2 linked regions of the Sus scrofa genome follow. The protein of the gene in region 2 interacts with the protein of the main gene of each other region in a biochemical or structural test. Links are inferred from orthologs where the notes say so. Each region holds a gene or a part of one and is shown on either strand. Other genes may lie near its edges.

Region 1 (3,750 bases), on a different chromosome or scaffold from region 2:
CAGGTGCCCAGTCTAGGGATGAGGTGTGGGGATTGGTTTATGATAGGAGTGGTCCCTCAGGAATGTTAGCTTGCGCAGTGGGCATACCAAGGACTTGTGAACTGCTCCACTATGCTTCCTGCCTAAGTGTGGCCCAGAGGCGAGGATTCTGGGAGACCCAGCAGCTCCCTGTGGAGTATTTATTAGCTTCTCCAGCCATACTCCCTACAGAAACCTAAAGTGTAAAAGGAGAGTTGCGATAAACTCCTTTCATACCTTGAACTAGAACTTGACTCTTCAACCTGGCTAGAGGACATCTCCCAAAGCTGTGAACTGGACTCAGAGTTGATCCAGTGAAGAGGGTAAGGGTGTTGGAGGAAACAGTGGCTGAGGCTCAGCCACTTCAGGCAATGGTTACAACCAACCTCATTTGGGAGTCAGGAGACCAGGGTCCAGTCATTTATTTGGGAACTGGTGGCCAATCTCTCCTCATTTGGAGGCCCTCAGGTTCTCCTTGTCATAAGCCATTTGGGCTGCTTTATTTTATTTTAAAACGATTTTAGCAGTGTGGAGGAGAGCTGACCTAGAAAACTAGATATCATCTCCCACCCATCATGGGCTTCCAGGATCATCCTTCTTCCATCCAAATGGGGCATCCTGAGAGATCCTTCCTGAGACAGCCTCTGGACTTTCTTGGAACCTTACCCTACAAAAACTGGTGTTGTATTGGTCAGCCACTGTTGCATGGAAAAGCACAGCTCTGGAGCCTACCCTCTGATAGTACTCACACCCCCTGCCCTGATGGATTCCTTGATTTTCCATGTGATGGGGATGGGCTTACCTTCCATGGCCCCACAGACCCCGGCATGGGGTTAGTTTGAGCCATCTTGGTGGTTGGAAGGGATTCTGGAAGACAGAAAACACACCAATGACATGGCCTCTGGGGTGGGGGATGAGGAGCACAGGAGAAAGTAAAAGAGGCTTGAAGTCCAATAAATAGACTTTGGTTGGGATCCTGGCCCTGCCTGTCACTAGCTGAGCCTCAGTTGTTTTCCATTGTTAAAGCTTCTACCCGCAGAGTTATTACAAGGATTAGTAGCAATAACGCAGCGAAGGCATTGCACAGGCATGATGACCACTTGATAAATGCAGTTCTCAGCCTCTTGCCTGCCTCCAGGCACCCACTACAGGTGGCAGCATTGCCTCAGTCTCACGTACCCCAATAGAAACTCCTTGGTGACCATCTGACCCCTCATATTGCCAGTGCATGGTCTCACTCTCACCTGGCTCCTCAAAGCCCTCAAATTGACCGGCTGTGCGTGGTCATGCTACATTCCCACCCTACTTCTCTTCTAGACCTAACCAGCCTTGGTCTTGCCTCCTGAACCTTTGCTGCCTTCCCCGCCTATGGCGGCTTGCTTTCTTTCCTACTTTCAGCACTCATCACAGTACTGATCTGTGTTCCTATTGAATATGTCCTGGGTGAACATCTCAAAGGCAGGGCCGGGATCTCCTGAGTGGTTGCTGAGCACATGTCGCAGTGGTGAGGGCTTGAGAAGGGGAATGGGTGGCACTGAAAAAGACCTATTGATGGAAAGTGAGGAAGAAAAGAGGATGACAGCAATAGCTACCACTGAACGATGGCTCACTCTCTTCCAGGCCCTGTTCTATATGCTTTATATGCATTCATACATTTAATCTTCCCAATGAGCCTATTAGGTAAGTACTGTCATTACCTTCATTTTACAGATGAGGGTACTGAGGCTCAGAGGGGTGAGGTAGACAGAAAAGATGATAGGAAAGGTAAAGGAAGGAAGAACAGGGGGAAGGGGGGCGGGAGGCAGGGCAGAAAGAAGACAGGCAGGTGTACATCAGTTTTCTCAACAGCCATTCATGGCCTTTGGCTCTGGCTGGTATTGGCCCAGAGACTGATGCATGTAAACTCTGACAGATCTTTCCATCCTGAACCTCCAAATAAGCGTTTCCTAGCTCTTGCTCACCCCCACTTCTCCCTATGCCCCAGGAGCTGGTCATTTCTTGAGGCTCCATGTCCCCTCCCAGCTATGATGGCTAGGGCAGTGGTCATTGTCCTGTAAGTAACTCCTTTTGGGGTGGCAAGAGAAGCCTGCCTCCCCCAGAGTTCCCCAGTCTTCTCCAGCTATCCTAAGAAGCCGTGACTACAGGGCAGGAAAACGGGGCCCCCTTCTGGGCATGCCTCTGCAAGGGAAGGAAAGAAGGACCAGAGCACCCCTCAGGGCCTTACTCACCCAGCTCCTGCTGCAAAGTCTGGGTCTCCATCTGGTGCCACTTCCTCTACGGCTCTGCTTTTTATAGCTCTGTGGCTGATGGCCTCTGGCTCTGTCAGCACTCTGCTTTCCCTCTGCTTTTGTTTCACCTGATCCCAGAGCTTTGGTGGCTCAGCCTGCTGGACAGGCATCCCTCAGGGCTTTGTTTAAATGTGGGATACAGAAATCCAGAGAGGCCCCACTGCTGTGGGCGAGGCTGGCCATGCAGGCCTTGCCTGCTGCAGACTTGCTCTCAGAGGAGCTGGGAGGTGAGGACAGGTCTCTGCAAGAGTACTTGCCCCCTGGCCTTTCCAGATTCCTCACACCACCCCAGGACCTTCCTAAGATTCCATGTCATATCCAACACAGCAAAATGCACGTCACTTCTCATACAGGATATACATGTGTTGCTGTTGTTTAAAAATATGAAAGATTCAGAATTCCGGTCGTGGTACCGCAGAAACGAATCCAACTAGGAACCATGAGGTTGGGGGTTCGATCCCTGGCCTCCCTCAGTGGGTTAAGGATCTGGCGTTGCCGTGAGCTGTGGTGTAGGTTGCGGATGCAGGTTGGATCTGGTGTTGCTGTGGTTGTTGCTGTAGGCTGGCAGCTGTAGCTCTGATTCGACCCCTAGCCTGGGAACCTCCATTTGCCATGAGTGCGGCCCTAAAAAGCAAATATAAATAAATAAATAAAACTAAAAATATGAAGGGTTATTACAATTCCGAGCTCTATTAAGAAAAATAAATCGGGAGTTGCTGTCGTGGTGCAGTGGAAAAGAATCCGACTAGTATCCATGAGGATGCGGGTTCAATCCCTGGCCTCGCTCAGTGGGTTAAGGATCTGGTGTTGCCGTGATCTGTGGTGTAGGTTGAAGATGCAGCTCAGATTCCTCAATGCTATGGCTGTGGTGTAGGCCGGCAATCCAGCTCTGATTGGACCTCTAGCCTGAGACCTTCCATATGCAGTGGGTGCAGCCCTAAAAAGCCAAAAAAAAAAAAAAAAAAGAAAGAAAGAAAAAAAATTCATTCACTATTTTTGGTAATCTTTATAATTGCCATATTTTTATGTATAACTGTTTAAGAGTTGAACTCAGTTATGGTCAGCTGGTAGACATGAATCTCTCTCTGTAGCTATATTATTAAATATTGACTCTTTAACGTTGCAGTTGTCTTTCAAAAATTTGGAGTTGGTGTTCCTGCTGTGGCACACTGGGTTAGGAATCTGACTGAAGTGGTTCTGGTTGCTACAGAGGTTCAAGATTGATCCCCAGCCTGTTGCAGTGGGTTAAAAGGATCCAGCATTGCCATAGATGTGGCTTGGATTCAATCCCTGGCCTGGGAACTTCCACATGACATGGTGTGGCCATAAAATTTAAAAACAATAAAAATCTAAAAAAATTTTTTAAAAATTTGGAGCCAATAAATCTTCTGAGTTTGGGGGTTTTTTTTGGCTGTGCCCATGGCATGCAGAAGTTCTGAGGCCA
Region 2 (3,675 bases):
GTGACGTTGGGTACATCGAACTGAGCAGCTTTTTGTCTAGCTGTCCTTTTTGTCTTTCCCTCCCTGCCCATCCCATTGTCCAGGTCACAGAATAGGGAGCAGCACAAACCAGGCCCTGAGATTTGGGTTTATTCAGCTCCACCCTAAACTAAACGAAAAAACGCTATGACACGTCCCAAGGGACCAAACCATACATTGTGGACCATGCACTTCACCCTTCCCCCAAGGATGCTGCTACCTCTAGGGTGGTGGGCAGCTGCTCCGTATCACCGTGGGGGCGGGGGCTAGCAAGGGGTTCAACTGGGTGCTGGGTCTGTGACATTCAGGGCTCAACGCCGGCTGCCTCCTCCTCTTCCTCTGGATCAGGAGGTGCAGGGAGCAGGGAGATGTAGACCTCATTGACCTCTGTGTCCAAATGTCGGCCACCCCGAGGCGCCTCCAGGTTGAGGATGCCGTCATGGGAGAGCGCGGCGCGGACGCGCCAGGGGTCCACATCCGCAGGCAGGACGTAGGTGCGGCAGAATTCTCGGGACACGAAGCCGTGGCGGTCCAGGCGCTGGGGGTGCCGGGCAGACACCTCCAGCAGGTTGTCCACAGTCCTCACGGTCACCTCATCTGGGGTGAAGTGGCTCACATCCAGAAAGGCCTGGAACTTGCCCTCACTAAGCCGAAGCTCCGAGGCCCCCGCCCTGCTGCCCTCCGCCGCTTGGGCTGCCCGTGGCCGGACGTAGTAGCCGTGGTAGAGGGTGGGGGTCAGGATCTCTTCTGGCAGGAGGCCTGGGGGGCAGAGGGGGAGAAGGAGAGAGGCGGGATGAGGGACGAGGGGTGGGAAGGAGGTGAACTCTGGGGAGATCGGGGGTGAGGCCCGGGGAGCGAGGAGGGGAGAGTCGGAAGAAGCAGGGGAGGGAGGGATGACAGGGACTGGACAGAGGGGACTGAGAAGGGAAATGGGGGCGGGGAGCAAACCTAACGCGATCTGGGGGGTCGGAGGGGAAGCCCCCACGCCCAGGCAGACGCGGCAGGTGTCAGCACCGCGGGCACAGCCCGCACCAAGGTAGGCAGGAAGGGGAGGGAGCCGAGCTTAGAAGGGGTGGGGTGGGGGGGTCTGGGGTGGGAGACGGCTCGCCCCAGGAGTTCACTTAAGCCTGGAGTGGGGTGGAGGCCAGGATCTTTGGGAGGTCAGCCCAGAATTTCAGGAGGTGGGGGTGGGAGGCAAGGGGGTGGTGTCCGGGCCGTACCTTCCCCGAAGCGCTGCTCACCCAGGCGGCTCGGGTTGGCAAACTCGTACTCAGTGGTGGCCGGGTGGGCATGTGGCACCGAGCGGCCCGACATGGCTGCAGATGCGGCGGCGGCTCAGGTCCGAGGTGCGGCCCCAACAGTCGCAGCGGGACCCCTCCAGCTGCCGCCGTAGGGCCAGGGTGCGTTCGGAGTGGGGGCGGGGTCTACACCACCCAAAATAGTGCCGAGCCTGGGGGGAGGGGCGAGGAGCGCCCGCGACGGCTGTGTGACCCGCGCCGCCTGGACCCCCGTCCCCTCCCTAGCACACTCTTCAGCTGTCACATCCCCGCCCCCTCCCTCCCCCCTCCCCCGGGACAGCTGGGGGTCCTGGCCGCGGAGCGAGCTGGGCAGGGGAGGCTGGTGCGGAGGTCCGGGAAAGGCCTCGCTGAGACCCTCGCGAAAAAGGGTGTACATTTCCACACCCTCCTTCTCCTCCTCACTTGCAGGCAGCAGGCACCCTACTCCATAAAACTCCCCTGGATTTAAGGTTCTGCCAGCCACGTAAAGCGAAAGATGCAAACAACTTTCTGCCCTTTCTTTGGGGGGTGCGGTGAGGGGCCTTTTGGTCTTGACATATCAGGGGCCTCTCTGAACCGGGGGCAACCCAGAGCACCACACGGAAACCTGCCATTGACATGCTGGTGATCACTGCTCTCCTCCAGGGCCCCACAAAGAGTTAATGTCCCTGGGGCCCAGCCTAGGAAGATTCCAGTTCCTGCCCAGGCCCAAGATAGTTGTTGGCCCCATTCCCTTGGCATGCTGGACTGGAGAGGAGGAGGGGCCCGCTGCCCGCCTGCTTGGGATTCCTGACTGGGTCCCAACTCCAGGGAAGGGGATGGGGGAAGGGTGCCATTGGGTGTGGACAGAAAGCTAGTGAAACAAGACCAGGACAAGCCACTGGCCAGCTCAGACGTGTCTGTATTTCTCTTTTCTTAGCTCAGTGAGTACTGGGTATGTGTCACACTGCCAAATCCCCGATCACAAGTCTCCATGAACGGGTGGTGAGCTGGGATAATAAAACCCCTGACATCACCATTCCAGAAGCTTCACAAGACTGCGTATATAAGGGGCTGGCTGGAGCTGCAGCTGAAGGAGCTGACCGGCCAGCTGACCCTCTACATCCACCCAGCCGCCATGGACATTGCCATCCACCACCCCTGGATCCGCCGCCCCTTCTTTCCTTTCCACTCTCCCAGCCGCCTCTTTGACCAGTTCTTTGGAGAACACCTGTTGGAGTCTGATCTCTTCCCAGCTTCTACTTCCCTGAGCCCCTTCTACTTTCGGCCGCCCTCGTTCCTGCGGGCACCCAGCTGGATTGACACTGGGCTCTCAGAGGTAAGTATCCCCTCTGCCCCGACAGGAGAGTGCATTCTGGAGCCTCCTGGAAGCGTCCCCATCCACTTTCCTCTTCCTCCCAGCCTAAATGTGGCTGTGTCTAAGGGTCTCAAGGGTTTTAGGCACTTGTGTGTCCTGCAGTGGAGAAAGATGGGGTTCCTAGTTCCTCCCCTCCCCCCCACGCAGGCACCTGTTTGGATTTGACGCCCCTGTGTATTCCACTTCTTATATTTTCCCCGTGTGCTACAAAGGTCATTCTCTATCCTCTTCTTCTAAGTAGGGTGTCCCTTTCCAGTTTGGTTCATAATGATCTACAGTGCAAGGGCTGCCTTCAGACTCCTGCTCACCTCTTCTAACACCTCACACTCCTCACAAATACTATCATTTCAAGTTTCAGAGCCAGGAGACAGTCCTACCTCATCCCTGCTGCGTGCAGCTGGAGACAGCAACCACTATTGTCTTCCACTCCCTCTTCTGTGATTTTCCAGGTTTCTCAAGGCTGTGACAGGGCACTGGCCTGGGTCCGAGGCTCACGAGGAAAGAATATAGGTCCAGTTTTCTGACCCCCCAACTTGTCCTAGGAGTGTGGGAAAATGAGGGGAACAGATAAGGTTGACAGAAGCTGTCACAGATAACACTCTGGTTTAAAATTTTTCAAGTGTAAATAAACAGGAGCTGAGTGGACAAGGGCTTTGGAAGGACAATCAGAGCCAGCAGAACATTCCAGATTGAGTGGGTGGGAAACTTGGCAGAGACCTGAGCAAGAAGAAGCAGCCTTTGTACCACAGACAAATGACAAGGCCAGGCATTGGGTCAGAGAAGCAGCAGAAGCCATGCCCAGACCCATCCTTGCGATTTATCCCCTGAGTGGCCTTTTTCCCTGTAAATAAAGTTTGGGCCTGATGACCAAGTGGTGTGCCCCCTGAACCAGAGAACCATGTTTATTCAAAAAAGGATTTTTAGCTTAAAAGGGGAGGACCAACTACCCGAGCAGAAAGCAAGTCTGCAGAATGATGAGGCTGTATTAGTGTAATCCCCATTCTTACCACTTTTTCTGCTACC

The links.
Region 1: the proteins of CRYAB (region 2) and CRYBA1 form a complex in vitro, tested with the Homo sapiens proteins (2 studies listed by BioGRID and IntAct, with this or other methods). The link is inferred for Sus scrofa from reciprocal best matches to the Homo sapiens genes CRYAB and CRYBA1.

What each region holds. Positions count from the first base shown.
Region 1 is NC_010454.4:45,465,057-45,468,806, reverse strand, and holds the start of CRYBA1 (beta-crystallin A3), read right to left. Parts: upstream 2,757-3,750; 5' UTR 866-2,756; coding exon 821-865; intron 1-820. UniProt on the Homo sapiens protein: Crystallins are the dominant structural components of the vertebrate eye lens.
Region 2 is NC_010451.4:39,640,542-39,644,216, reverse strand, and holds the start of CRYAB (alpha-crystallin B chain), read left to right. Parts: upstream 1-777; 5' UTR 778-1,054; intron 1,055-1,238; coding exon of another isoform or gene 1,239-1,332; exon of another isoform or gene 1,333-1,468; intron 1,469-2,214; 5' UTR 2,215-2,229; exon of another isoform or gene 2,230-2,319; 5' UTR 2,320-2,412; coding exon 2,413-2,613; exon of another isoform or gene 2,614-3,143; coding exon of another isoform or gene 3,144-3,190; exon of another isoform or gene 3,191-3,675. Other genes in the region: HSPB2 (heat shock protein beta-2), read right to left, coding at 323-777, 1,239-1,332. UniProt on the Homo sapiens protein: May contribute to the transparency and refractive index of the lens. Has chaperone-like activity, preventing aggregation of various proteins under a wide range of stress conditions.